Alligator mississippiensis: one gene and its partners. The protein of the gene in region 1 interacts with the protein of each later gene in a biochemical or structural test. Links are inferred from orthologs where the notes say so. Each region holds a gene or a part of one and is shown in the gene's direction. Other genes may lie near its edges. The genes, in order: PDZK1, SDK2, CRHR1 and CYSLTR2.

What was found.
Region 2: the proteins of PDZK1 (region 1) and SDK2 interact in a test that uses a peptide from one of them, tested with the Homo sapiens proteins (2 studies listed by IntAct, with this or other methods). The link is inferred for Alligator mississippiensis from reciprocal best matches to the Homo sapiens genes PDZK1 and SDK2.
Region 3: the proteins of PDZK1 (region 1) and CRHR1 form a complex in vitro, tested with the Homo sapiens proteins (2 studies listed by BioGRID and IntAct, with this or other methods). The link is inferred for Alligator mississippiensis from reciprocal best matches to the Homo sapiens genes PDZK1 and CRHR1.
Region 4: the proteins of PDZK1 (region 1) and CYSLTR2 interact in a test that uses a peptide from one of them, tested with the Homo sapiens proteins (2 studies listed by IntAct, with this or other methods). The link is inferred for Alligator mississippiensis from reciprocal best matches to the Homo sapiens genes PDZK1 and CYSLTR2.

What each region holds. Positions count from the first base shown.
Region 1 is NC_081824.1:268,601,642-268,608,822, reverse strand, and holds the start of PDZK1 (Na(+)/H(+) exchange regulatory cofactor NHE-RF3), read left to right. Parts: upstream 1-4,160; 5' UTR 4,161-4,453; intron 4,454-7,181. UniProt on the Homo sapiens protein: A scaffold protein that connects plasma membrane proteins and regulatory components, regulating their surface expression in epithelial cells apical domains.
Region 2 is NC_081831.1:2,115,640-2,122,640, forward strand, and holds the start of SDK2 (protein sidekick-2), read left to right. Parts: upstream 1-3,986; 5' UTR 3,987-4,348; coding exon 4,349-4,421; intron 4,422-7,001.
Region 3 is NC_081827.1:156,222,985-156,230,492, forward strand, and holds the start of CRHR1 (corticotropin-releasing factor receptor 1), read left to right. Parts: upstream 1-4,492; 5' UTR 4,493-4,570; coding exon 4,571-4,621; intron 4,622-7,508.
Region 4 is NC_081824.1:413,727,831-413,735,482, forward strand, and holds the start of CYSLTR2 (cysteinyl leukotriene receptor 2), read left to right. Parts: upstream 1-4,647; 5' UTR 4,648-4,789; intron 4,790-7,617; 5' UTR 7,618-7,652. UniProt on the Homo sapiens protein: Receptor for cysteinyl leukotrienes. The response is mediated via a G-protein that activates a phosphatidylinositol-calcium second messenger system.

The sequences.
Region 1 (7,181 bases):
CAGAAATCAGGGATTTTGGAAAAAAGAAACATTTCACCTGGGCAAGAAAACTGAAAACATTAATCCTCTTTGGGGACTGAGGTCCTGAAGCATACTGTGGGTACCTGGAAAGCACTACTGGTTCTTCTTCCTCTTGCCTGGAAAATGTGGGAAGTTACTAGAAAGGAGATGAAGAGACAGAACTGGCGAAGCAGAGCTGGAAAAGGCTCCCAAGCAGGAAAACAAACCAGATGCTTTGTACAGAAGGGGAAGTGACTGAGCTGTCTTCCCTGACAAGAAGAGACCAGGTGTATCTGCAAGGCTGGGGACAGACATCCAAAATGCCAGAGCCTGAATTAATTCAACCCTTGCAGGTTAATCTAACCTGCCCAGGTTGAACCAGTTTGTAACAGGATAGACATTCCCAGTGGACTGAGGAACTGAGGGCACATGCCTGCAGTTGCTCAGGCCAGGCGCCAGGAGGTGGTAGAGCACATTCTCGACTGCAGGGAAGCTATGCTGCGGGGCCATGGCCAGCCTGGGCTGAACTGGCCAGAGAGGGATTTCATTCCCCATTCCCTGTCCCACCAGCAGGGCCCTGATCCAGGTCTGCTAGGCACTCCCTCATTGCTGCTGCAGCAGCAGGGCACAATGGCCCCTGAGACAGATGGGGCCAGGAAGTGGGGTTAGTCTCCCCTCTAACTAAAGTGGCAGCCAGATCTGCCTGCGGTCAGTGCTGCGCTCCCTTTCTGAGGCGGAACAAGCCCCCTGCTGTCCCCTCCACTGGACACCGGAGGGAGGGGGACTAACCCCCCTCCCTACCTGCCCCCCTTCAAGGGGCCCTGCCAGCCAACTTCTGGCCATACCCCCATCCCACGACTGCAGTGGAAGGGGGCAGGGCCCTTGATGGGGGCAGCAGCCCCTGTCATAATGTCAGGGAGTGCAAGCCCTTCCAGGCAGGGGCACTGCACTATGGCGTGGGCAGAGCTGCAGCAGGCTGCATGTGGCAGCACCAGGGTCCGGAAGGGGCCAGAGCCCCCTAAGCCCCCACAGCGCTGCCATTGCCATGGTCCACAGCAGCTTTCCTTGCCCTACAGTGTGGCCCCCCTGCTGGGAAGGCAGCCCACTGCAGCTCTGCCCACCCCGCAGTGCAGAGCCCCCACTGGGAAGGGGCTCATCAGTGGTGACATGTAGGGGGTGCACAGGGGTGCACGTGCACCCCCTGAGAGCACTGGTGCAGCCCCTGACCAGCCATGCTTGCTGCTTAGGTGACAGGCAGGGGAAGCAGGCAGGAATGCTGGTGCCCCCCCACGAGCGCTGGCAGGGGAGTGGGAGCACCATGGCTCACTGACCCCCACCCTCCCAGTCAGTGAGATTGGCTGCAAGAGGACGTCCCCCCGCTCAGTCCCCCCGCTGACTGGTCACTGGGGTGCCATGTGCCCCCCCCCGGACTAAGGTGGTACCAGTTGCCCATGAGGCTCACACTGACATGACAGGGGCTGCTGCCCGCATTAAGGGCTCTGCCCACTCCCACTGCAGCGGCAGGGAGGGGGCAGGGCTAGACACCGGCCAGCAGGGTCCCTTGGTGGGGTGGGCAGGGACAGAGGTTATTCCCCCTCCCTCTCGCATTCAGCTGAGGGGACAGCCGGGGACTTATTCTGCCACAGGGAGTGAGCATGGCACCAATGGTGGGAAAACCTGGCTGCCATTGAGGATAGAGGGGAAACTAACCCCACTTCCTGCCCCACTCTGCCTCAGGGCCATGGTGCAGCAGCAGTGAGGTGGGAGCTCCTGGCAGACCTGTTGGTAGGACAGAGAGGGGGGAATTAAACCATTCTCTGGCCAGACCCCTACCCCTGCCCTGGCTGGGAAGCAGTGGGGTCAGCCCTGCTAGCCTGGAGCAGAGAAGGCAGCCCAGAGAGCATGCTGGGATGCTGGGGGACTCTGGTTTAAGTTAAACCAGGAAGGGGTCTGAGACAGACATTGCATAAACTGGTTTGAGCCAAATCAGTTAAGTCTACATTCAACCACGTTTATCTCAAACTGATTTCGGCCATTTTGAAACTGGTTAACGTCCACTGAATGCCTGTTCTGTTACAGATTTAAGCCAGTTTCTGAGCATTTAAACTGGTTTATGTGTACTGTCTCTAGCCCAAGTCGGAAAGGATAAATCATGAACTGCCTACCTGGCTAAATAGAGATGGGCACTTCAGCCTTCAGCGTTAGCTAGACTGAGCTGTATTGCATAGGGGAATCTGCTTGTTTTTCTAATGATCTGTAATCTTTTGTGCTTCATTGTGTCTATTAACAAGCCAGGATGTGTTTCTGCACAGTTTCTAAGCCTATCTCTATGTTTGTCTGCTTCCCCATTTGAACAATGGGGGCAGCAATAATTACAATTTCTCATTGGGATGGAAGTGCTATAGAAGTGCCAAAGGTTATTTTACTCACAGTCTTCTGCACCACCTTACTGTATGCTTAGTAAAACCTAGGATTGGCACCAAGATCCTAAAATCAAACAAAAATTTCTTCCCTTGAGAGACCCTGCAAATATGATACTGTAACCTTAGCTCAGTTAGGCACTACAGCATACAGTTGAATTGGCAGAGTTATAGTTTATCCCTGCTATAAATCTGGAATGATGGCTTGTAAACAGATAACTCCTTAGGTAGCACAGATAAGCTTTACAGAGTTTGCTCCGAGCTTGCATCTGATTCCAGCAGGAGTTCCTAAGTGGAGAAAACACATGCTTATTTTAAAGTAGTTACTCCCCAAATGTTAATAATGTGACAAAGAGAACACAGCTGCAATGCAGTAACATAGCTGAGTGATACATAGGGGGAGGTTGAGTTATGGGGTGGGTTGCAAAAACAGCAGCCCAGCCAACGCTGCTGCTGGCAGCATTGCCACTAATGCTGACCCACAAGCCACCCCTGCCCAGGGTGCAGAAATGCCCACACTCACCTCTGCTGCAACAGAAATAAGCATGAGATGGAGCATAACAGGCCTTAAGTGACCACAAACCCAGCTCCCCGGGGGCGTATGATTACATGAGCTGTGCTTTTTAAGGGTCTAGACATCAGATGTGCAACAGTGCTTAAGAACATGCCCTAAATGACTCAGAAATCAGAAAAGCAAACGATAAAAGTCCTGCTTTATGATTTTTTAAGTCAATTTCATGATTTGGGGGCCAATCTCATCATTTCTGAGCACATGGGGTAGGCCATGCTGAACATTAAAAGCTTTCAGACACAGTGGAGGGCCTCTCACGCAGACCACACTGACAAGTGCTCTGAGCCACGTAGAGGTCCTTTCTCCAATGCTTGCAGCTGCTGACTCATTCTCTCCAAAGAACTTTACCCTTATTGCATTGGCCTATTACACAAGAACCCCCACCCAGTCTCTTGCCTGCCTTTGAGACCGACTGCTGTCCAGTCACAAAGGGTATTCACAACCCCATTCCCAGGTATGGAATTTTCCTTCTGGGAAAAGGGTATCCCAAGCCCCCCTCTCAGGTGCCAGGCTCTTCTCCATGGATTCTGACCCTTCTGGAATCTACCTACAAACATTGGCCCTCTCTTCTGACTTCGCTGGAACATCTACATAGGCTTAAATTACTGTTCTTAAAGCAATTACTAGTCTGTAACACATCTCCAGTACCCACGAAGCTGATGGAGCCTGCTCATGGAGGGAATATCAAATGAAGCTGCATTATGACAACACCACATTACCTCAACTGTTGTGCAGTCCCCGGGGGCTTCATAATAAAGTGACTGGCAGTCAGAGGACTTGGATCCTATTCCCAGCTCTACCATTGACCTTGATCAGGCTTTCTATTGTCCTCCTGCTGAAAGCACTTTGCTGGGCCTCTTGCTTCCTTCCCACCCTTTGTCTTCCTTCTATGTTAAATTGTAGGTCTCTGGGGCAGGCACTATGACTATGTTTTTTCCTGCAGTGCCTAATACTGTGGGGCTACAGTCTTCGTTAGGACATTTAGGTGCTGCAGTAATACAAATAACATTGATTTCTAGCCACAATCTGCCTTGCAAACTCACTTAGAGTGCCTATGCAAGGTCTAGATAAGTTTGCTATATATAGCACATATACGTATATATCTGCATTCACCCATCAGTCAGGTTGACATTTCCCTGATCCTTATTTTCATTGTCTCTCTGGGAAAGCTCAAAGATCAGGCTTGTCTTGGACCCACTCCTGGAGAAACCCGAGTTTGCTGGTGTAATAATCAGTGGAACATGGAGTGGAATTCAAAGCTGCTGAGAGGGGAGAAGCACTTTGTAGCTCAGCAGGCTGGCCCAAGGCAGGTTATCAAGTAGATAACCTATGCAGTGAAACTCAGTTAAATAAATCATCTTTTAAATCAACCTTTGCTCTACCAAAGTCCAGCTGTGCCTACAGTTACAACCACCAGGAGAGACTGCTGCAGAGCATTCCTGAGGATAGAGCTCTTACACAGGTAGGAATTTCCTTTTCTTCTTCACTGCTCACTATCCTCCAAATCTCCTTCTTGTTACAAAGCAGATTCCACCATGTACCATGCATGTAAGGCTTCCCTGCACTGAGAATGGCATTTCTATTTGTCTTTGGAATTTTCCTTCCCCTCCACCTGATTGTGTAAGCTTTGTCTACATTGGGGTTTTTCTTTGATTTCAAGCACCAATGCTCATTCCTAGTGTTCAGCGGACAGACTGCTATGACCTTCAATTTTAATCAATGTAGCCCACTGGTTTCAGGAGTAAGCTCCACTGAAATAGGTAAATTGTGTGTTTCTACATAACAGAGGATGTTGCTCTTTACAGTTGATGGGCTAAAGAGCAGAGCAGAACCTCTGTCAAGATGAACTCTCTGAATAGACCCTGAGGAAAAAGCTAAAAAGAATAGAGGGAATGGGTGCAGCAGTACTTCCTTCAGTCTTAACATCCCCTGTGGTGTAAGCGTTATAGACTGGAGGCATTGTAGAATATTAAGTTACTCTTTCTCTCTTGACAGTGGGGGAGCACCAAGCTACCAAGCTTCCTTTATCCTTCTAAACTTCTTCTGAAGTGTCTGTGCTTCAGATACTTTTGACAGCCTAGCTGACCCACACACACCCTTCTACCAACAGGGGAGGGGAAGGGACTGTAATAATCTTGGTGTGTATTTACACATGCATGCATGCATGTCTATGTATGTGGGTGCATGGGTGTAGGAATCCAATTTCTGGGGGATATCAATCATATAGTTAAAAATTTGGAGTGGTGAGTCCACAGCCAGAACTTGTCTGGTGCTGGACTTTGCGGGATACTTCCCTCAACGTATCTGTGATTCTTAGAAATATTGGGGGGGGGGGGGGGGGGTTTGAAAGAGCTGTCGTTAGCACCACAATTTCCCAAGGCCAGACCATCTGTACAACATAGTAATCTAATCGTGCTCCAGAGTCAAACTCCCTTTGCCTCTGATGAAATTCTCTATGCTCAGAAGTTCATGGGCTCTGTGGACATGGGTTGTTTTCTGCTAGTGGTCACAGAGTATATTCAAAGGCAAACATGTGATCAAGAGCCTGAAGTGAACTGTGTGCCAGATCCTCATAGTAAGTGTTCCTGTGTACATCAGCCACAAGATAAAGAGTGAAAGGCAGTGATTATGAAAGTTTTACAATGGGTGATTAGATGGCCTTTATCGGCCTAGGCTGTGATTAATGTATAATCTCTCCAACACAGCTTTCCGTGGTCATCTCACAGATTCCTGCTAGTAAAGAGAGGATGAAGAAAGTCCATTTTTGCTGAAGCCCGATAGATTATCGACTCATTATTGCCTGAACTTCCAGAGAGCCTACATTGTCCAAATTAGCCACCACTTCATCCCATGGACATATTTATCAATGTGGTTCTTTGGCAGGATTGCTTGAGACGCCTTCCCTAGAGAAGCAGCTTTCTCTGCTTGCTTTCTGTACCTTAAACCTGCCTTTTCATGACATAACTCTCTAAAATAGCCAGGCACCCAAAGAGATAGTGTACTATTCAGCCTAGTAGTGGTATTCATAGCCAAGTATGCAAAAGAACTAGCTGTCCCTGCCACATGGCTACATCAACAAGCTAAAGAAACATTCCAGACAGACACTATTACCTTCCAAAGAGGTAATTTAGGATTAGCATATTTATTTGCCTGTTTCTGCTAAAATATTCAGCAATGAACTAGCTGGAATCTGAGGATTCCATAAGTCGTCTCATGCATAAAATATTCTGATTCAGTAGGTAGGATAGTGGTCTTGAACATCCAAATTACTAGTAGACCCCTCAGTCTTGCTCCATAAGCAGCAGAAAGGGAAATGAAAAATCATCAAGTCCTTTTTTGGCCAAGTAAGCGTATCATTTGTGGAGACAATGCTTGGGTATGGAGAACCAGACATTGAACTTGGCCAGAGAAAGGTGCTTTGTAAATAGGTGCCAATTGTTGGCATTGGATTTATGACCCAGATATCTTAATCTGAGTGGACCCAAACCCTCATACCAACCAGGACTTCCTTTTATCCAATAATTGACAAATTTTATTGATACACAATGATAGTATACAAGAATAATACAGGCAAGGCAAACAAAATACACACCTCTCCTACCTCCCAATTCTAGATCTACCAGTCCTAGGGTTGTCACAGAGGGGAGGTACGTCTGGCCAGCACGCAAGCTTGACCCTGTGGTTTTCTTGGATGTCAGCAGCCTGGAGACCCACTCCCACCCATTCCCCCCACACTGAGGTGGGTGAGATGGGCTGGTGATATGCCCCCTGTCCATGGTAGCCTCATAATCCCACCTCAGGAACCCTTTGCTGCTCTTTTTGTATTCCTTCCTTTTGTAGTCTCTCTCTCCTCTGCTGACTCTCCATTTCTGGGCATCATTGATTGGTCTCCCTGTGGTCATCGTACTGTCCACATTCTGTTCTGTCAGCATATTCCTTTGTTCCAACAAACCCATCAAATGCACGCATCTTAATTTGATCATTTACCAGCATCTTAATTTGGACATGCCCCGGATGCCTCAAAACCAGAAATCACAAGGTCTCTGCAGCTAGTCACTGTGACCTGGCTCCAACATGGCAAACCTATCTTTTGTTATGGATTAGAGTGGTACATGTTTTCAATTTCCCAGCCTGTTTGTCTGCTGGCTTCAAATATGGTGGGCCTTGAAGCAAAAGTTGTCACAAATAGG
Region 2 (7,001 bases), on another chromosome or scaffold:
CGCATTGCCCCCAAAACATGAAGTTTCCTGTGATCTGTCACGGCTGCGGAGAGACTCTCGGCCCGAGGGAGATGCCAGGAGTCCGAGGGCAGACGGGCAAGGTGGCGGTGGCTTGAAAACCACCTTGTGACTAAGGCAATCTGGCTTCTGCCCGCTGGGTATGTGAGGCTGGCTGTGTGGGCTGTGATACCCCGAGAGACCCCATGGAGCGGGGGAAGCATGCCAAGAGCTCAGGGCTGCGGTGAGTGCCCTTGGAAGAGCCAGAGCAGTCCCTCTGTCTTCGTTAGGAGACTGCCTGGCTCTGTAGCTCTCTGTGAAGCGTTCTGCCTTCGTGCAGCGCCTGGGATGGGGGGTCGCAGGCATCATCTTCTCACCCTACAGATGCCCCAGCCTTCCTCTGCCCTGGGCAGGAGCTCCCCACATCCCCCCAGCCTCACTGGGCCTCTGGCTGGTGCTGCCCTAATCCATTTCTGCTGCAAAAGGCATCCCAGCACTAGGGATATTTCCAACCGAGCAATGAATAAATGAAGAAGCCAGAGCGATTTCAGCTTAACTGGACTTGACTTTTGCCCCCCAGGGCTCTGAGATCAAAGCGCGCTGCCGAGGGCCTTGGCAAATTGCGCCGGGAGCTCTTCGGGAAGGCATTTCCCATGCCCGGGCCCTGCTCGGCTTGGCTTTGTGCAGGGCAAAGAGTGACAATATCCCTTTCTCTCCCCCAGACCGACTCGGACTGGCAGAAACAGGTTCGGTCGGGGAGGGGCAGTGCACGGAGCAACGGGTAATTTCCACCCGCGGGAACCCAGCGGCAAGTAAATGGCACTGCTGGGTGCTGAGTGCTCCTGGCTGGTAATGGAGCCCCGCTGGGTACCGAACAACCCGGGAAAGGAGTTTGGGTTGCTGATGGCCAGGCAGCGTTTTCACTGGACGTCGGACACCATCATGGTGCAGTGAAGCATCCCGTGGCCGGCCTCGCCCAAGTCCTCCTTGGTCTTGTCTCTTATCCTCCCGAGGGGAAAGGACGGGAGTTGGAGGTGGACACCTCTTGCCATTGCCCCGTTACCCTCTGCCAAGGCAGACCCCAAAGGGCTCGGAGGGGAAGGCGTTTCCATTGTAGACGGAGCCTTTTTCTCTGCCGGAACTGGCCTCGGTCTCCAAGCAGATGTAATTCAAGCCCGGGGAAGTATTTTTGGGTTTGCCTTTGATGCGCCCTCTTCAAGCAAGAGGCCAAATAACAGCGTTGAGACCTGCAAATAGCTCTTCGTCAGCCGGTCCACCACATCCCACAGGCTGGTATTATGGGTTACGTGACAGCTACCCAGTCATTAGACTGGGCTGCTTTTCTTTCCACACCCCATGCCCAGGAAGGCCTTGCATCGTCAACCAAGCTGCTTTGTGTGTTTGCTCCCAGGAGCCTCAGCGTGGGATCCAGAGGGATCTTATGGGGTGCGAGAACAGTAAATGGATCCCTTTTACATACTTGACTGGGGCTGGAGCCTTTTTCTGTGGCTTCACAGAGACGATTTCTAGAGGCAGGAAAAGAAACTCTGGAAAATCCACGTATGCAAGAGGCTCCTGGAAACACCTGCATCTTCCCCGTGCAGGGCTGTTCCCATTTTAAACCAGGTGAAACTGTTGCATGCTGTTGGTGTGTGCATACGTGTGCAACATACTGCAATATCAGCTACATCAAATGTCATTAGTAGGGCAGGCAGGATGCGGGGCAGAGTTGAAGGGTGGCGGTGGCGTTTTGGGGTCACCCAAGACGAGAAGGAGAGAGGGTGACTTGCAGAGCTTGTGTGGGAAGGGAGAAGAGTGTGTGCCTCTATCTGCCTGCTAGTGGATAACAGTCTGCTACTGCTGCCAGCCACAAAGAACTAGCTCGCATAGTTCGCATAGCTTGCATAGTTCAGGCCTGTCGCCCTGCAGAGAGCTGGTGGGCCCGGCACGGCTAATGAGACCCCTGCCCCAAAAGCCTGGCATTCTCTCTGATTTCGGGAGCTGTTTCCACATTCGTGGGACTGGGGAGAGGCAAAAGCCTGCCCCGGTAACTCCAGGCTCGGTCTTTCCTGCTGTTCAAAGTATGGGCTCTGTCGCTCTGACATCTGACCGCTGCTTCCAGGGTCACGGAGGAGGGCGCGTGCTCAGCAGCACGAAGCCTTTGCTACAAAACCAGAACGCGGTCCGGTCTGCCCGGCCGCCATGGGCCACGGGGGTGCCGGCAGACACCGATAACAAAGGGCTGGCTCCTCGGTGGGATGAATTGCAATAAATCCCCATAGTCACTAGGGGCAGGCGGCGGATTCTGAACCCGGGAGAGTTTTTCCAGGCCCCGGCCTTGCAAAGCAGGAGGCGCGTGATCCGGACCGTGGGCAGGCAGAAAGTGAGGCATGGGCATTGGGTGTGTGGGGTCCCCCCTTGTTCCTGGGCTAACGCACCTCTGCTGGCTCCGCAGGCCCCCCGGAGAGATGAGGAGGGATTGGAGCCCCTCTTGGTCCTGTCCTCGCTGCTAAAGAGCCCCTGGGGAATTTGCTGAGCTGTGGTGGGGGTGCGTGGTGCCGGGCCCAGGCAGCCCCACAAGATGCACCACCGACACTCCTTTCTATACCGGTTATTATTCCTCACCGTTAAAATTTTACACACGCGTTCCAACTTTTACTACCCGGGCAGCTCATAAACCTTATTTTAAAGGATTCTCTCCGTGCGTGTGTCCCCCAGGGAAATTCAGTTTGCTCATTTCTTCCTGGATATGCCCTGCTTGGAGCAGGAGGCAGGACTAGATGAGCTGCTCAGCCCTCGTGGTCTAGGATTGTCTGTGCTGCAACCTCTCCTGTTTCGCTTTCCCTCTCCTTTGGATCCAGCTGTCTGATACAAGATCTTGCTCTAGCAGAGGCCTCACCGCGGTGTCTGGGCACCTGGCAGCCCACCCCTCGTTTCTTCTCACAGCCCCTGGCCCGGCAGGCAGGCGGCGCAGTTGTTCCCTGCGGCACAGAGGACGCCGAAGCATGTGGATGAAGTGACTCACCTAAGGTCACACAAGAAAATCTGTGCCAGAGAAAGGAATTAGCTCCTAGTTTCTCAGGGGAGCTCGCTAAGCACCGGGCGTCCTTCGTTGCAGACCCACGCTGGGCCTCTCTGGTCCCATCTGATGGGCAATTCTGCTATTGCAGGGCCAGGCATGTGCTGCTTCTCCAATCCAGGCAGCAAGGGGGTTTATACAAAAGGGTTTCGTCTTCCTTGACACGCACACGTACGTACAGTCCCTTACACACACCCAGACACATGCATGCACATACGCTCCCCTACACACCCACACACGCTTCCCATTACATTGAAGGCTCACACCATCCCTTCCTCCACACATGACTGGGGCGGGCTTGCAACCCCTCCCGGGGCTCCCGGCCCCCTTTCCACTCAGCTCCCTTGCCCTGCCCAGAGCCCCCCATGAATCCAGCCCTGCTGTGCAAGGCGCTGTACAAACCAGCTGCACCACCACCCCTCTCCCCCACAGAGGTTCCCAGCCCCCACGGGCTATCCCCGGTGCCCAGGAGTCACCTCCCTAGCTCCCAGGGGTTATCTCCCCAGGTCTTTAGGGTTATCCCCAGCCCCCTGGGGTTACATCCCCAAACCCCATGGGCTATCCCCAGTGCCCAGGAGTCATCTCCAGCCTCCAGGGGTTATCTCTCTAGCTCCCAGGGGTTACCTCCAGTCCCCACGGGTTATCCCCAGCTCCCAGCGATTATCCCCAGTGCCCAGGAATGATCCCCCGCCCCCTGGGGTTATATCCCCGACCCCCAGGAGTTACCCCCAGCACCCAGGAGTTACCCCCAACCCCCCAGGGTTATATCCCTGACCCCCAGGAGTTATCCCCAGCACCCAGGAGTTACCTCCAACCCCCCAGGGTTATATCCCCGACCCACAGGAGTTATCCCCAGACGCCGGGGTTACATCCCCGACCCCCAGGAGCTATCCCCAGACGCCGGGGGTGACCCGCAGCGCCCCGGGGTACTTGGGGGCCCCGCCCCGCCCCGCCCTGCCAGCCTCAGTGTGCCGCTCCGAGCAAGGGGCGCGGGCGGCCGCCGCCGGCTCCGGGCGCTTTCCAAGCGGCGGCCACCGGGGAGCGCTCTGCGCCGCCGCCGCCGCCTCCGCCTCCGCCGCTCCCGCCCCGGCGGCGCCGCGCTCCGCTCCGCTCCGCTCCGCTCCCTGCGCTCCTCACTCGGCGGCGGAGCCCGGCGCGGGCGGCAGCGCCGGGCGGAGCGGGGAGCCGGCCCGGCCCGACCCGACCTCCCTCGCACGGATTACGGCGCCGCCGCTCCGCGAAGTTGCCTCCGCCGGCGCCGCTCCCGGGACCATGGGGCCGGCGCGGATCCTGCTCGGCGCAGCCCTCGCCTCCCTCCTCGCCCTGCGGCGCGCCCGGGCGCAAGGTACCGCCGGGGCACGGGCGCGGGCGCGGGCGCGGGCGCGGGGAAGTTTGCAGCCGGGCCGGGGGGGGAGCCCGGGCCGCCCGGGACTGAGCACAAAGGGATCCCGGCTCCGAGCGTGCCATTGTGCGGCGGGACGTGGCAGCCGGGCTGGGCTGGGCTGGGCTGGGCTGGAGCAACATGTGCTCGGACCCCGCCGCCTCGCTGCATCCTGCCCCGCCATCGTTCCTGCCCTATGCCATCCTACTCCTGCATCCTGCCCCGCCATCGTTCCTGCCCCGTGCCATCCTGCCCCTACATCATTTCTGCCCCAGCATCCTGCCCCGTGCCATCCTGCCCCTGCATCCTGCCCTATGCCATGCTGCCGTTCCTGCTATGCATCCTACCCCATGCCATCCTGCCCCAGCATTATTCCAGCCATGCATCCTGCCTCTGGTATCGTTCTTGCCATGCATCCCACCCCATGCCATCCCCTCCCAGCATCATTCTTGCCATGCATCCTGCCTCAGTGGTATTCCTGCCATGCCATCCTGCCCCCAGCATCATTCCTGCCATGCACCCAGCCCTGGCATCATTCCCGCCCCATGCCATCCTGCCTCCAGCATGATTCCTGCCATGCCCCCAACCCCAGCATTTCTTGCCATGTATCCTGCCCCCAGCATGATTCCCGCCATGCCCCCACCCCTGGCATTTCTTGCCATGCCATCCTGTCCTGGCATGGTTCCTGCCATGCGCCCTGTGCCTGCCTCCCGGCAGGATGGGACCCCCATGTCCCCAGAGCAAGGAGGCTGCGCCGGGTTTCTGGCTGGTTACAGGTGGGCAAGTTCCTAGCACCGGCTTTGTTTGTTGCCTCTGCCGTGCCGTGTTGCTGGGAGAGCTGCCCCCTTCCCCAGCGGTCCCAGGCCTGCCCCGGTCCCTGGCACCCTTCAGCCCCCTTTCCCTGCTGGAGAAAAAAATCGCCTGGCTTTTGCAAGCATCGGCAGTGACCTGGAAAGGGGTAATTCTCCTCCGTGGGAAGCAGCTTCTCCAGCCCAACCCTTGTGTTCGGAGGTTTTTTGGAGAGGGGACGTGGATAGCATGGGATTAAAAAAAGGAAAGAAAATGAAGCCATCGGGAAAAGATGTCCCTGAGAGCTGGTGTTTTTCCAGTCTGGACCTGAAGAAGCCACTTGCTTTGCATTAAGGAATGGGCTTTCACTATTAACACCCCCCCCCTCCCCTTTTTCCAACCCCACTTCCCACCAGAGCTCCCTGCTTCCAAAGTTTTTTATCCAGCGCCCTTCTGGAAGCTGCCCTAATATTTGGTTAGTTATCCAAACAGCTGCTTTCAATGCCTGGAGCAGCTTTTACAGTGCTTGTATCTCTCCCCAGCACCTTACTCCCTCTCTCCTGTATATCTCCAGACCTGTCAAGATTAACAATACAGCCAGGAGAGATTTATATGGGGAAGGCAGGAACACTTGGCCAGCCGAAAGCTTATTACGGTTCTCGGGGAAGGGGGTGGGAAGAGAGGAGCAACGCCGTGGCCCCGGCGCTGAACTTTATTTATTCTTGCCCAGGGTGTGGGCAGAGCTGCCGGCTGGGCAATAGCCCCGCACTCGGTCTGGAGAGAAGCGTCTGCCCCAAATTTGCACTCCCAGATACAGGCTGAATCTTCCAGGGACCCCCGAGATGCAGGCAGAGGGGAGGGAAGCGCAGCTATAAATATATATAATGGGGCAGGTGGGTTTGGCAGTAAAATGCTGCATAATCTCTCCAGGTAGGTGGATAGTAAATGCCTCTGCATCGCTTTTTTTAGGCGGTTGGATTCCTGGCTCCTCGCGCATTGCTTTTTGCTAAGATTAACCCTGTGGGCGCGCGCGCGTGCGTGTGCATTTGTGCGCGGGTATGTGTGCAAGGTTTGCCCTGGCTGAAGTTTTCCAGCCCCTCCAGGCAGAGAGCCGGTGTCGGGACTTGCCCACCGGTTGCTGGAAAAGCCGCACGCTTTGACTGTGCAAATGCCAGATGCCAGGGTGTGTCCCAGCCCGCCGGTCTGCCCTTCCGGCCTGCCTTCCCCTTCCCTGCCCAGGCTGGGGTTGGCCTCGGCGGCGTGGTAGGTTGCGGTAATGTGAGTAAATTAGAGCTGCAGTTTAAAGGGGATTCAAGGCAGCACAGAGTGAGCTAATGCTGCGGGGCAGCGCGAGACCCTGCGATAAGCTAATCGCCTCCAGGATGCTTATGTGCTGTGCGGACTATTTTCGTCTGCCTTTATCTGAATGAGATGTATAAATAGTTGCCTGTTTCTCTAAGGTGCGGCGTTTCATTCGCCGGCGCCAGCCGATATGGGCTGCTGGGACTCTGCAAAGGCCGTGCCGGAGGGGTCCTGGGGCAGAAGGAAGCGCTGCTCTTTTAGACTTTAATTAGTGCCGAGACCCAAGATGCGCAGATGCTCTTTGCTTAACCACCCAGAGCTGGGGAGCGGAGGGGCGGTCTCCTGGGCTCCCCTCCGGCCTGGCACAACTTTATTTGGTGGAGCCGCGCCTGCAAAATGCTTCGAAATCATAGCGGCGAGGTCTCTCTCCTTGCTGGGCGAGGGCCGAGTGGG
Region 3 (7,508 bases), on another chromosome or scaffold:
AGCAGGGAGCGACTGAAACCAGCTGGGAGAAAGCCATGGAGAGGATTTGAGTGCCCACCTACTTTTGTGACTAGAATTCCTCTCCTTCCTTTGCATGCAGAGAAGGGCATCTGTCCTTTCAGGGCACAGGCAAAGGATAAGCAGCTGCTGGTGCCCTTTTATCCATTACCCATTTGATAATGTCTCAAAATTTTCCTTTGTATCATTCCTTTTAATGGAAGTGCCAATATAATATGCTCTTCAGGAACCCAAATAAATAACTTGCATGATGCCAATGAGCCCAAAATATATACAGGAATTACTTTGCTTGTTCCTGAAATGCAACAAACTCTGGAGTGGAACAGAGGTGTTTTATCTGTGCTCAAAAAAACTGAAAGATTTACTCAGAGAGGTGTAGAAAAATTCTGCATCTGGTTGAAAATGCAGACACACAGTCCAGGTAGGTGGCATGTCATTACCCACTTTGGAATCTGACTAGGAAATCATCTTGTCCTGGATATGGGGCCATAGGATCACATGTTTGGTTTCTTTGGGGTTTCAAATAACATCTGTCAAAGCAACTCTTAGCACCTATTTGCTTTCTTGACAGAATGTGAAGACTTCAGGCCTGATTCTCAGGAAATCATCCACCGAAGTCCATGAAACTAGGGTGAGGAGAGTCGAGTTCTATCTACAAGTTTTCCCCAGGCTGCTGCATCTGTGTCTCCCCTACCACCCTATCAACTGTCCCTTTTCTACTAAAATCCTACTGGAAAGTTAGGTAAGAATAGTACCCTTAGACCTAGAGGTAGACAAAGGGGCATGCTGCCTAAAGAGCCTCTAGAGTGCTTAGATTAGCACACACCCCACTGATTTACCTGGCTCTCCCGAAGGGAGGGGAGGGCGAGCTGCCAGCAGGCAGAGCGGTCCCTGTGCTGTGTGTGCATTGGGGAGAGGGCTGGTGCTTCCCTCCACAGCAGGGGTGGCTCCCCGGCTTCCCACCCCCACCAGGTGGCAGTCCCGGGGGGCACCGCAGCCAGGGAGGAAAGCACCAGGCCCCTGCAGCTCAGCCAGGCAGGCGGGCTCCAGGAGTGGGGAAAAAATAAGATCAGGCTCACCGGGCTGCTGCCAGGCTGCCTGCAGGGCTTCCTACAGAGCTGTGGAACTGCATGGAGCCCAGTGCTTTGCTCCATGGTTGTAGGGGCAGCAAACTAAAACTCCTTCGAGGAGTTTTAGTTTGCTGCGCCCCAAGTCATTTAAGGCATATTACACCACCAAATTTCCTACAGCAGCTAGAATTCACGTTCAATACACTGCCGAGGCATGCAAACACCGACACCATTAAAGCGATGCAAAAGCATTTAGCCGGCTTTAAAGTGTTATGCACACACGGCTCCTCCCAGCCCTGGGACTCCTCCTGAACCTCCTCCCAGCTCCTCAGCAGCCCTAGTAGAACAAGAAGCATAGACAGCCACCAGAAGCATAGACAATCCCCAACATTAAGCGTTAAGTTCCTCTCCCTCTAAAAATACCTCTGCTTGAGAGTAGGGAGGAGGAATTGGGACCTCAGGAACCTAGCGCAAAGTTGCAAGAAGTGCAGTCATTTCCTGAGAATTACTAGCCAGGAGAAGAGAATCCAATATCTCCTGGCCCTGAGTGGAGGAGGGGGAAGTTTGGTCCAGCAGGAAGAGTAAAAAGGCAGGCTTGCCAAGTGATCCAGGACTTTGAGAACTGGTGTTCAGCTCTTTGCTGCATGACCTTGGCTCTGGCACCTAGGCTAAGATCCTGCAAAGGAAACAAGGTGCCTAGGTCCTGCTCCACGAGGGAGTTTGGCTTAGTTTCCTTGAGGATCTCAATTTAGTCTCACTGGCCCTCTAGCTATTGCCATGGCAGGACTTCCCGGCCCATGGGGGTGGGAGGCTAATTATGTCATTGGGGAAAGAGGAGTCAAACAGACATCTTGCGCTGTAAGGGGTCCTGGCTCCATACCACGTGCTTTCTGAGATAGCAACTTCCCTTCCCTGTGTTCTGCTCTCCCTTAAGCAAAACCAAGCTGATAATCCTGATGAAAGCTCTTGGGGAGAGCAGTGGTTGAGCCTATCATCAGCAAAGGGCTTAGCAAGCCTCAGGGAATGGGCTGGTACACAGCTGAGCATCGCTCGGGGGTCCCATACAAATCTACGGAGGCACTCACCTGGGCTGAAATGCCTGGAAAGCCATGCGTTAGAGCCTCAGCCTTCGTGTTTGAAAGAGACGAGTTGCTATGGAAATCTAACTGGGGCTGGACAATCAGATTTTAAAAGACGTTGGCAGGACATCATTTTTCCTCAGTTGAAGAGGCAGGAAAAGGGTCAGGGCCTGTGGGCAAGCGTCAGACTATCGGCATGAATAAATCAAAGAGCACTGACCTTCTGTTTACCTGTCAAGAGTCCTTTGCACCCCTGTGTTGTTCCAGATCACAAGGATTGGCAGGAGCAGGATTGGAAAGGATTAGGATCCATCCTGCCCATGCTACATGCTGCCACACAAGACTTTTATCAGAAACAATGCGTTGCATCAAAGACAAAACCCATAGCATCAGGTAGTTGTTGCAACAGGGTGTAGGGGGAGGACTCCCCAGTTTTTGGAGTATAAGGGATTGACTTCAGTTCAATTACACCCACAGTGGAAGTGCTCAGAAGGGAGGTCCGAGTGGTCACTTGCAGTTAGGTGCAGGGCAGGCTGTCCCCCTGCTCAAAGCAACATGACTGAACTAAACCTCCAGGAAGGTTTCCCATTCACTCCTGTGCAGTTTCTGGCACACTTACTCACCTTGACTTCTCATTACTAATTTAAAAAAAAAAAATCTTGCTGACTGGTTGGTTTTCCTCCTGCTGAATCATCCCAGCAGGTACATTTAAAACTGCCTTCCCTGGGGCTGGCTCCTTCAAGCCCAAAGCAATGCTTGTACAAAGTCTGTGTAGTGCCTGCAGGTGTCTGCCCTCTAGCCCTGCACTAGCACAGTGGTGGCAGCATTACTGCAGAAAATCTTAGAGGGCTTTCCTCACCAGGCAGGACAGCCCCAGATCCTAGTAGAGGAGATGCTGCCAGAAGAAAAATGCTACCGTCTAAGGGCCCAAACCTAGCTGTACCACGGCAGGCAGCATCGCCACCCAAGGGGTGCCACAGAGAGCTGGATGGTACCAGGGCAAGGCAGCAATATCTTGGCATAGCAAGGGGCAGCATTAGTACCCACTGCTTGAAGATAATGGAGTCGGGTCTCCCCTCTACCCATTTCTACCGGAAATTACTCAGTCCAAAAGTGCTGGGCAGATGCCTCCATCAGCTTTGTTTCAGAATCAATTTGGGAAATTATAGCAGGCCCAGGAACAGCAGGATTCAGGCGCAGAGACGGCTGGGCACTGACTTCATTCTGTGGGCAAGTGACAGGAGGCACACAGCCAGCACCCCCTGGGCCAGGTGCCCTCTCTGTGCCATGCTGCAGGCACACTTCCCAAGGCCTGCTGGAGAGGCGAGAGGGGCCCAATGGTTTTATAGATTTCATACATTCGAGCTGGAAGGGACCCTGGAGGATCATCGAGTCCAGACCCCTGCCCAAGGGGCAGGAAGTCAGCTAGGGCCAAAGGATCCCAGCAAGATAAGCATGCAAACGTTTCTTAAAAGAGTCCAGGGGAGGTGCTCGCACCACCTCCCGAGGGAGTCTGTTCCAGGCCCCGGGGGCTTGGACCATAAAGAAGTTTTTCCTTATGTCCAGTGTAAAACGGTCTTGGAGGAGTTCACAACCATTACAGCAGGACAGGAGAAAGCCAGGACTCTTGGCTGCGCTGCCCCAATGTATCCCCCCTCCCACTGCCGCAGCTCTTCAGAACGGGAAGGGGCAGCACCTGCCGGGGAGCGGATGTCCACGGCGGGGCTGGACCTCATCCTTGGAGCTCAGAGGGATGTAAAGGGCCTTGGGGACAGGTGATGCCCAGGCCCACCAAGAGGCTGGCAGGTGACCCCCTAGGTGCCTGGGGGCTTGCAACAGGCCTATATAATTCATCAGGGGAGGGCAGCAGGGAATAGGAGACCCGGATGGCCACAAAACCCACGGAGAGCAGCTTTAGCTTGGACATCAGGAAGAACTTCTTCACGGGCAGGGCAGGGTGGCCAGAGTCTGGGATGTGCTCCCAAGGGAGGTGGTGCTCGCCCCGACCTCTTCAAGAGGAGACTGGACAGGCACCTGGCCGGGTCCCGCCCGGGGCAGGGGGGCCGACTCCATGACCTACCAAGGACCCGAACATCTCTGACTGAGAGGGCAGGAGGCTGCGGGGCGGGCTTGCTCCAGGCCAGGGCAGGCAGGAGTCCTGCCGGCTGCCCTGAGGAGGGGCGGGCCGGTCTCGGGCGCTGCCCCAGCGGCTCCCGCCCCCTGCCCGGCCGGCGGCGGGGGCTCGGGGCGCGGGCCGGGGCCGGCGCGGGGCTCGGGGGAGGAGCGGCGCGGGGAGCTGCGCGGCGGCGGCGGCGGCGGGCGGATAAAAGCAGGCGGGGGCCGCGCCGCACCGCTCGTCAGCCCGACCCCTACCTCCGGGAGCGTGGCACGAGAAGCCGCAGGATGGTGCCCTGCACCCGGCCCGGCCTCTTCCTTCTCCTCCTCCTCCTCCAGGTAAGCTGCTCCCCGCGCTGACTTTCTTTCAGGAAGGAGCAAGCCCAGGCCGGGGCAGCCGGTGCGCTCGGCTCCCGGGATGCGCGCCGCCGTGGCCGGGGGCAAGGTCCGGGCGGCTTCTTGCCCTCCCCCGGCCGCCAGAGGAGACGGGCAGCGGGGGCGAGGCCGTCCCAGCTCTCCTGCCCCTGCCCCGCTCCTGTCCTCTCGCCCGGGCAGCCAGGAGAGCGGGCTGGGGGAGTCCTGGCTGCAATGAATGGGCGAGCAAGAGCTCGCAGCACATGACAGTTGGAAGAGACACCTCGTTCAACCCCTTGCCGCAAGCAGGACCGGCCCCAGCTAGATCATCCCACCCAAGTCCAAGTTCAGGTCTTACAAATCTCCGAGACTTGAGCGATTCCCCCCGTGTCTCTGCTCCAGTGCTTTGCTACCTACCCTCCTTGCCAGTCCCGTTGCTACATTCAAAGGCTTTCCGAGGAAAATGCCCTTTGGTTTCAAGTGCTTTGACTGCAACTTGAATCTTCCAGTTCTGTCAGCTGCAAATATCTGCGCTGGTTGGGCAAGGATTGTTTCCCCCCCTCCTGAAAAGTTTAGGGTTTCTGTTGAGAAAATGCACAGAGCCAAGGATTTTGGGGGAGTTGCCAAATACAGGGTCTTACTCAAATGCTGAACACTTTTTTTTTTTTTTTTTTTAAACGAAGGCAGAGATGGGCTTGAAAAATGTTGGCTCTTTGTTTTTAAAAAAATGAGTTGCCAAAGACATGTCAGTTCTGGAAGACTGAAGTGGTACTATCTGCATAGTTAAAATGACAGAAAATGCAGAGGTTCAAGCTCCCTTAGCACCTTTACTACCTTGTGTTTTGCATCTTGCGGGGATGTCTGAGGCTATCCATTTTACAACATGAACAAGAAGCAGCATTTAGCTGCATGTTTTTAACAGAAAAACACGGTAAAAAGCCCTACGTAAGGGCCAGTATTTGCCAGTAAGTGTTAACATTCGTATAACATCGCTTTTGGACGCTTCTTGACTTTGTTTCATTTGTCTTATCTGTTCATTTGTCTTATCTGTGTGGCTGAAATACTGCATTCATGGAGTTTTTCAAAATTAAATTCTATGGTGGTGGTTCTGCTTTCTGTTAATAAAATGATGGAGATTGCTGCTTGTGCATAGGGTATGCATGTCCATAATCTTGTATTTGGACCTTTTGTCTCCATTAAATAGGTGTATCCTTTCCCCATCCCTTCTTCCAAATACTAATTAATTTTGGCCAGAAGCCAGTCCTGCAGAATTTTATCCTGAGCATTTTGTTAAACTGAGATCAGTTAAAAATGGGCATATTAGGTACCAATATTTCTAGTACTGTCTGTGAAAATAGAGATGAGAGGAAACCAAGCTCACTGAGAAAATGATATATCAAGGCACCTCCATATCTAGGGTCTTGGTGGTTATCTGAACTGTACTGCACTTCAGATAACTTCCAATGGGCCACCCTAGACACTAGTTTTCTCTGCCCATTCGAGTGTGCACCTTCCATAGTTGCTATTGGGGATGGCCTCTCTGTGCAGAAAGACCAGGAGCTTGCTACCCTTGCCTAGTGTCTAGGTAGAGTTAACAGTTCTCTATGGTCTTCATGGCAAACCAGGCACATACGGCTGCTTGTGCTGCTCAAGTCTTTGCCAGGTTTGGGAAAAAAATATGTGACCCTCTTGCTCTGCAGCTGGGAGTAGTCTAGAACCACTTCTGATGGGGTCTCCTCAAGAGATACATGCCTGGTGCCACCTCCGTGGACTGAGTTTGAGTTCATCCAGACAAAAAAATACAACTGATACCGAATGACTGTATGACCAGTCTCACCTGCACTAACTAGCCCCACACCAGAAAACATAAAGGAAAGGTAAACACAGGAACAACTTGTAGATTAATTTAACAATTATTTGCTTTTAATTAAAACCTTGCTAGAAGTGCAGATGTTCCTGAGGCTCCATGAAAGCCACTGGGTACTTTCCTAGTACTCCCAGTCTTGCTTGGAAGTCACTCCATTACCATAGGCATAGGTGGCATTGAAGAAAACACAAAGAATGTGTCTGTGTTGTGGTAGGCATCCAGGTTGTAGCCATATTGTTCTAGAGGAAAAGGCAATCAGAACTCGTAGTAGAGATTTATATCTTTTATCACACAAACAAGATTTTTGCAAAAAAAAATTCTTTAATTGCAAGCTTTCGGGCACAAACACCATTCATCAGGCATTGGAGAAAAAACTGTAAAAGTTCTCTTGGGTAGAAATTAAAGTTCATATTTCATAGAGGACTCCATAGATGGAAAACTCCTCTGGGCAGTCAGTTCATAGCTGGTATGAAGCCTCTCGCCTCCTGTGAGGATCTGCAATGATGCAAATTACCTTGAAACAAAGGCTCAGGTTTCAGGTGGTCACAGTGGCTTCCTGCTTGGGAAAAGATGAAGATTTCATTTTTTATTTTTTTTTAATTGGCTAAAATTTGATATCTGTGTGTCGTATCCAGGTTGTAGCCATATTGGTCTAGAGGAAAAGGCAATCAGGACTCGTAGTAGAGATTATATGTTTTATAGATGAAATCTATATTTTTATATAATAGAGATGATATATAATATAGATTTTATCTATAAAACATCATCTGTACTGTAAGTCTTGATTGTCTATATTGTGGTTGCATCAACAGCTGCATGGCATGTGGTCACACACCCAGCTAGATTGAGAGGAGCTAACTCGGGTCCCTATCACAGTGTATGCACAGAAGCAAATTTCTCATCGTGAACTAATTTATCCCCCTTCCTGCATGAGTTTTGCAGTCTGCGTTAAGCTCTGTGCTGCTGTAGCTCGAATGTTACTGGTAACCAAGCCAGTTTAAAGCA
Region 4 (7,652 bases), about 150 Mb from region 1:
CAGAAGTCACATGCCCCAGCCCCCTCACCATTTGCATTGCCCTCTGCTGGACTCTTCAATTTGTCCACATCCTTTTTGTAGTGGGGTGCCCAAAACTGAACACAGTACTCCAAATGTGGCCTCACCAGTGCTGAATAGAAAGGGAATAATCACTTTCCTTGATCTGCTGGCAACGCTTCTGCTAATGTAGCCCAGCATACTGTTAGCCTTCTTGGCAACAAGGGAACATTGTTGGATCATATTCTGTTTATTGTCCACTGTAACCCAGGTCCGTTTTCGCAGAGCTGCTGCTCAGCCAGTCAGCCCCCAGCCTGTACCAGTGCATGAGATTTTTTGAATCCCAATTGCAGGACTTTGCACTTGTCTTTATTGAACCTCATGAGATTTCTTTAGGTCCAATCCTCCAATTTGTCTAGGTCTTTCTGGACATGTCTACATGTGATACTACATTGCTGTAGCAATGCGCTACCATGACCTAGCATCCGTGGGTGTTTACATGTGACCAACAGCTATTTTGGCATAGCAACACGCTCCCCCACTAAAGTGCACCACAACAGTGAAGTAGCTGCTAAAAATAAATGCGCGTCACACGTATGACTCAGTATGAGCTGTTACTGCACTGTGATTTAGTACTTCCTTTTGGAAGTACTAAATCACAGTGCAGTCACAATATTGCCATAGCAACAATTGTAGATACACCCTCTGAATCCTAACCCTACCTTCCAGCATATCTATTACTCCCCCTAGCTTGGTGCCATCTGCAAACATATGAGACAGGGGCTCCTTTTAGGTAGTTACTAGGCTTGTCTTTGATGCCTGCAGCTTGCAGGTCCCAGCTCTTGAGGCCTGCAGTTTACAACCTGCGGCTTGCAGCCCTCTAGAGCTGCTGCCTGTGGCTCTGCAGCTATGTAATGCCACCCTTCTCAAATGAGTAAGAGAGGTTAGGGGCCCCTGTTACAGGACTTGCAAAACCAACTGTTCAACTCATCCTCTTATGGGGTGTGTGAGCAGTTTTGACACAAGCTGTACAATGCCCAGGGAGCCACCAGCCTATGGAGTGTTCTCAGAAGATTATTTTTGCCCATTCTAAGACCCTTTTATCTGGAAAAGCAATATTATGGAACCATTGTGTAACTGAGAGCTACCATCAAGGCAACAGAAAATGGTAAACTAGTTGATTATGACTGAGATTTTTCAAAGAGTCTGAGAGAAATGGATATCTATCTCCAATTAAAACATGGTAGAAACTGGGCATCTAATTTCCTAAGGACCAGTGTGCAGTTAGGTGCCAAAGTGCCTGATGCATCTTCTGCAGTTGGCTATGTGGTTGGTTTCCCAACATTGCTAATTCCAGCAAGTTGACCACATGCTATTAGTGGTGAAATGATTTGGAAATGTACCCTAATGTTTTCTTTTCATTTCATAGATTTCATAGACATTAGGGCTGGAAGGGACCTCAGAAGATCATCAAGTCCAGTCCCCGACCCCAGGGGCAGGAAGTCAGCTGGGGTCACAGGATCCCAGCAACATAAATGTCCAGTTGACTCTTAAAGGAATCCAGAGTAGATGCTTGCACCATCTCTGGTGGCAGTCTGTTCCAGGCCTTGGGGGCTCGGACTGTAAATAAGTTCTTCCTTATGTCCAGCCTGAAACAGTCTTGGAGAAGTTTGTGACCATTTGACCTTGTCATCCCATGGGGTGCTCTGGTGAACAGGCATTCCCCCAGATCCTGATGTACACCCCTTATATACTTATAGGCAGCCACCAGTTCCCCCTGAGCCTGCACTTTTCCAAGCTGAAAAGTCCCATGGCTCTCAACCTCTCATCATAAGGCCTGTTTTCCTGCCCTCTGATCATGTGTGTGGCTCTCCTCTGGACTCTCTCAAGCTTCTCCACATCCTTTTTAAATTTTGGAGCCCAGAATTGGATACAGTACTCCAGCTGCAGCCTCACCAAGGCTGAGTACAGCGGGAGGATGACATTTTGGGATTTGCTAGAGAAGCATCCATGGATGCAAGCCAGAGTTTTGCTCGCTTTGCCGGCTGCAACATCACATTGGTGGCTCATATTCATCTTGTGGTCAGTCATGACCCGCAAGTCCCTTTCGACCGTGGTGCTAGCGAGCATAGTACTGCCAAGCCTATAAGCATGCTGCAGGTTTTTCTTCCCAAGGTGGAGTACCTTGCATTTTTCAGAGTTGAAGGCCATCAGGTTTTCATCCACCCATTTTCCAAGCCTGTCAAGGCCAGCCTGGATCACCATCCTGTCCTTTTCCGACACCAATGTCCACATCATTAATGAAGATGTTGAAAAGGATAGGCCCAAGGATAGAGCCTTGGGGGACCCCACTGGTCATGGCGCACCACAATGATTGACTTCTGCCAACTACTACTAAGATGATTATAGGATACCAGATTGAAAGCTTTTTTAAATTCAAGATATATAATGTCAATCTCTTCTCCCTTGTCCAGGTGGTATGTCACCTGGTCGTAGAAGGAGATGAGATTGGTCAGGCAAGCCCTATCTGCAACAAACCCATGATGGCTATCCCACAAGAAGTTGCCTTCAGCCAGTTAGTCAAGAATGCTCTCTTTGATGATTTTCTCCAAGATCTTCCCGGGGATGGAGGTCAGGCTGATGGACCTGTAGTTCCCCGGATCTACTTTCCTTCCTTTCTTGAAGATAGGCACCACATTGGACTTCTTCTAATCTTCAGGCACTTTGCCTGAACACCACGAGTTCTCAAAGATCCGTGCCAGCGGCTGAGCTATGATGCCTGCCAGCTCCTTACGTACCCTGGGGTGTAAGCTGTCTGGGCCAGCTGACTTGAAGGTGTCCAGCCTCTCAAGGTGTTCCTTCACATGGTCAACACTGATGAAGGGTAACAGCTCTCTCTCACCCTGGCTGTCCCATACCATATTGAGCAAGGCCGTCCCTTGGGGCTGGTGAAAAACCAACACAAAATACCCATTGAGCAGGTTGGCTTTTTCCTGGGTGTCAGTTGTCAGTTGACCAATATGGTTTAGCTCGGGTGCAATGTTACCTTTGCTTTTCCTCTGGCTCCCCACATATCTAAAAAATGACTTTTTATTGTCCTTGATACGTGTAGCCAGTTGGAGTTCAGTTGCAGCCTTGGCTTTCCTGGTTCGCTCCCTGCAGGTCCAGACCAGTGCAGAGTACTCCTCCTTTGGGGTGGATCCAGCCTTCCATCCTTAATAGGCCTTTCCTTTTAGTCTCAGGAGGTCCACTAGTTCCCTGCAGACCCAGGGGGGCTGCTGTGCCCTTTTGCTGCCTTTCCCCCTAGATGGGATAGACATTGCTTGTGCTTTCAGGATTGCTCCCTTGAGGAGCAACCACTCTTCCTGAACTCCCCTTCACTTTGGGTCGTGGTCTCTTAGGGCCACGCCAGCAAGCCTCCTGAGCTTGTCAAAGTCAGCTTTCCTGAAGTCGAGGACTTCTGCTTTGCTGACTGGCTTGCCTGCTTTAAGGCAGATGGTGAAGGTGATCAACTCATGATCACTGTCTCCCAGCTTCCCTTCGATCATTAGGTCACTGATTAAGTCATCCCTGTTGCCAGTACCAGGTTGAGCAGAGCTCTGCCTCTCATCAGTCCATAGACTTCTTGAGTCAGATAGAGCTCATCCATGCACATGAGGAAGCTTTGTGACCATTCGGATTTGGCCGAGTGCTCTTCCCACAAGATGTCAGGGTATTTGAAATCTCCCATGACAACCATGCACTGGGAGTGTGAAGCCTTAGCTAGTTCCCTGGCGAATTCCTGGTCAAGCTCTTGATCCTGGCTAAGAGATCTGTAGTAGACCCCCACCATTGTGACCCCTATGCCTTTTTCGCCACCCATTTTGACACAGAGAGTCTCCAATCTTCCCTCCTGGGTGCTAATGTCAGCTTTCAGGGATGCATATCTTTCCTTGACATAAAGAGCTACTCCACCGCCCCTTTTGTCCGCATGATCTCTCCTGTACAAGGTATAGCTATCTATGCCTGTGGCCCAGTCATAGGTGGAGTCCCACCAGGTCTCCGTTATCCCTATGAGATTGTAATCCTTTTGGTTTAGCAGGAGGACCAGTTCCTCCTGTTTGTTCCCCAGGCTCCTGGCATTGGTGTACAGGCAAATAAGTGTCCCATTGGGGGTCCTTGCCTTTCCTACAGATTGCTCTGGGGCTGCCGTAGGGGTGGGTTCCCTTGAGTGCCTTAGCCTGCTGGGTTTACAGAAACTGCCCAGTGGGCTTGCAGTGGTGGTAATCCCCCCCTTCCCTGGTGGGCTCAGTTTAAAGCCCGGTCGAGTTGGTCAGCCAGTCTCGCTAAGAAGAGCCTCCTCCCCAGTGGATTGAGGTGGAGGCCATCTCTTCCCAGCACCCCACTGGGAAAATAGAATATTTTCCCAGGGAAAGTATTTTTTAATTATTTTATGGTACTCCAACAATTTACTGGTTTGATTATTGAAGTCTATAGATAGAAATGAGAGTAGTTGAGAAAAAGTTTCTAGATATATTACGTGGCTGCAGAGCCTTTTTTGATATTTTTTTGAACAAGAGATATATGTAGTATGGGAGCAAATGCCTTTTCTTGACCTAAGAAAATATCTTTCTGAAGAAATAAAACTTCTGCTAACAAATACTGACTTCCTTTTACTTTTCATTGGCTGTGGTTGTGATATAAATAGATGTAGGTTCTTTTCCCCCCTCCACTAGCAGGCTGGCAGTTTTGAACAGCAAAAGCTGAAGAAGGAACTAATGTACTGAATTAACTGAAAGCTACACATACTAAGGTAGGACAAGTTTGTAATTTTTTTTAGTTCAGTATTTAAGTTGATAAAGATTATTAACAGTAACTAAGGCCCCTCCTACTTTCCCCCCTGTTACTTACGAGAGGTCTTCTAGCTGCTGGAAATATTAGGTGTTTATTAAATAAGGTTCTTTTCTCCTTAAGAAAGGACATCAAGGTGGTTTTCTATAATTACAAATATTTTGAAACATGAAAGATAATAAACTAATGGTAGTTTACCAAAAATCTGAGTGAATGAATTTAATTTTCTTGCTAGGCGCAAAGTACGGATTGTATCAACTGGAATCTTTGTTTACAAAATTACCAATTCATTAAAAGGTGTGCGTGAGGGTGAATAAAATGTCCTGTCTCTGCACAGTTCAGCTTAAATCAATGCTAATTCCAAACCAACAATAAAGGAAAGTAACTGTTTGGCAATTCTCATCCTGAACTGAAATATAACATTCACAGGACAAAGTGAATCAGAGCTTCATTTTTTGTCCAATGTCCGTACATCTGGCTTTCTGAAAGGGCAGTAGCTGATGCCTGTAATATAACATAGATAATAACACATTGCTAGTCTAATGGCAAACTTGAAATCCCATAGAAAACTGTTTGGAGAAAAATATATGGTTTAAACAGCAGAGAAGGTATTTTGTATCAAGAAAATCATTTAAAAAGATGTATTATGACAAGTCCTCATTGGTATAGAGAGTTCAGTGTTTCAGAATTTCTGTGCACTTGCAGGTACATTTAATGTAGCTGGGATTGTGAATGTTCTGCATTTCTTAAAATCAGACTAGAGAATTTGCTTTTTTCATATCCAATATAAATACTGCTGTGTCATAATCTATTTCTCTTAAAATATAACAGAAATATATTTTACATTGTCAGGCTAAGGAATCTTAACCTTGTTTTAGTAGATGGTTGCTTTAAGATCTAGTTCTTTACTTAACTGAGGACTTGAGGTTATAGATTGCTAGGTAATCTTTGTTTTGTGGCTGATTTGTGTGTATTTAGTGGGATTGGCCATGCAATTTTCAATATTATTTAATGGTTCCAGGTTAGATTCTGGTCTCATTTCACTGGCATATGTAAGTTACAAATAAAAGAGTATGTTATACTGGTGTGGGTCTGATTCATAGATTATAGAGTCAGAAGGGACCACAATGGATCATCGTGTCCAACCCCTTGCCCCTGGCAGGAAAGAAGACTGAGGTCAGATGACCCCAGCCAGGTGACTGTCAAGCCTCCTGTTGAAGACCTCCAAGTTAGGTGATAGTACCACCTCTCTTGGAAGCCCGTTCCAGATTCTGGCCATCCTTACTGTAAAAAAATTCTTCCTAACGTCTAACCTAAATCTACTCTCCGCTAGTTTGTTGATGGCCTCGTTACACTGCCAGCTCATGTTCATCTTGGAGTCAGTTATGACTCCAAGATCCCTCTCAGCCTCTGAGCTGCTGAGGAGGTCATCCCCCAACCTGTAGGTGTGCTGGGGATTCCTCCTTCCTAGGTAGAGTATCTTACATTTATCTTTGTTGAACTGCATCCTATTTCATTCCACCCATTGATCCAATCTGTCCAGGCCAGCCGGTATCTGCTCCCTGCCCTCCGGTGTGTTAACTTTGCCCCATAACTTGGTATCATCTGTGAACTTGGAGAGGGTACTCTCCACAACCTCGTCCAAATCGCTGGGGAAGATATTAAATAACACTGGTCCAAGGACCGAACCCTGTGGGACCCCTCCGCCCACCTCCTTCCAGGCCGAGAACAACCCATCCACCACCACTCTCTGATGTGACAGGGAGCAGAATCAGGACCCATATTATTAATTTTCCAAAGTGTCTATAACTTTTTATAGACATTTTAATTCATCTAAGTCTGGTTGCCCCCAGGCTGATCTTGCCTGATCCTCAGCTGAATGTCAGAAGCAGGCACAGGCAGTCCCAGGTTCTAGTTTAGGACCAGGAGCTGCCCCAACCTGATTCCTAAGGATCAGCTGGGGATAGCCCCAGGACCCATGGCTGTCTGGATGCACCATAAACGTAACACCTGTGAGAACTCTTGAGGGATCAATAATTCAAGGAAGATTTTGTGGCTGGTCTCAGCTAAATCACCTAATCTGAAGTGCATTAGCTATTGTGCTGTAGGCCTGGTGTGTATCCCCTCCCCAGTTGGTTCTATGATGAATCTTCACTTCAGCTATAGACAGATATAACAATTTTACTGATATCAAATGCTACTGATATAAACTGCTGTTGCTGTTATGCCTGCATCATTCTGTAGTGATACATGTCATTCAGGGTTAAAGTTATAGAGATTTAGGTAACTTGTATCATTATAGGACCATGTAGATTGGTAATGTAAGGTTACCAAACTGTTGGATTGGTAATGTAATTGAGGGGTTGTGACCAGGGCATCAGCTGATGGCTGTCCACACCCTGCTATCAGTGCTGGCAGCGCAGCCTGATGCTACCCCACATGCCGCATAGTTGCCTTGCTTCACCTCTGAGTTAGATCGCAACAGCTAATGTGTACTCCCAAGCAGCAACTTCCCTTTCCCTTTTAAAAATGTTAAAAGGTACATTTCTCCATGGCAATATTTGAATCTCCCTATTACTCCTTTCTGTTGTGATCTTATTGGTGATACGCAGCTCTCAGTATCTTGCTGGGTGGTTTTCAGCAAGGTACTAGCCTCACTGTACCTCAGTTCCCTTAGCTTTTATGCTTACCACACAGGCTTAATTCACTCATATTTTTAAAGATACATGACACAAACTTTATAACAGGTTGCAGAACTCTGATTTTAATTCTTTTTTTTTTTTTTTTTAGAGTCCAGGACTTCTGACCCTAGCAAAATACAATAA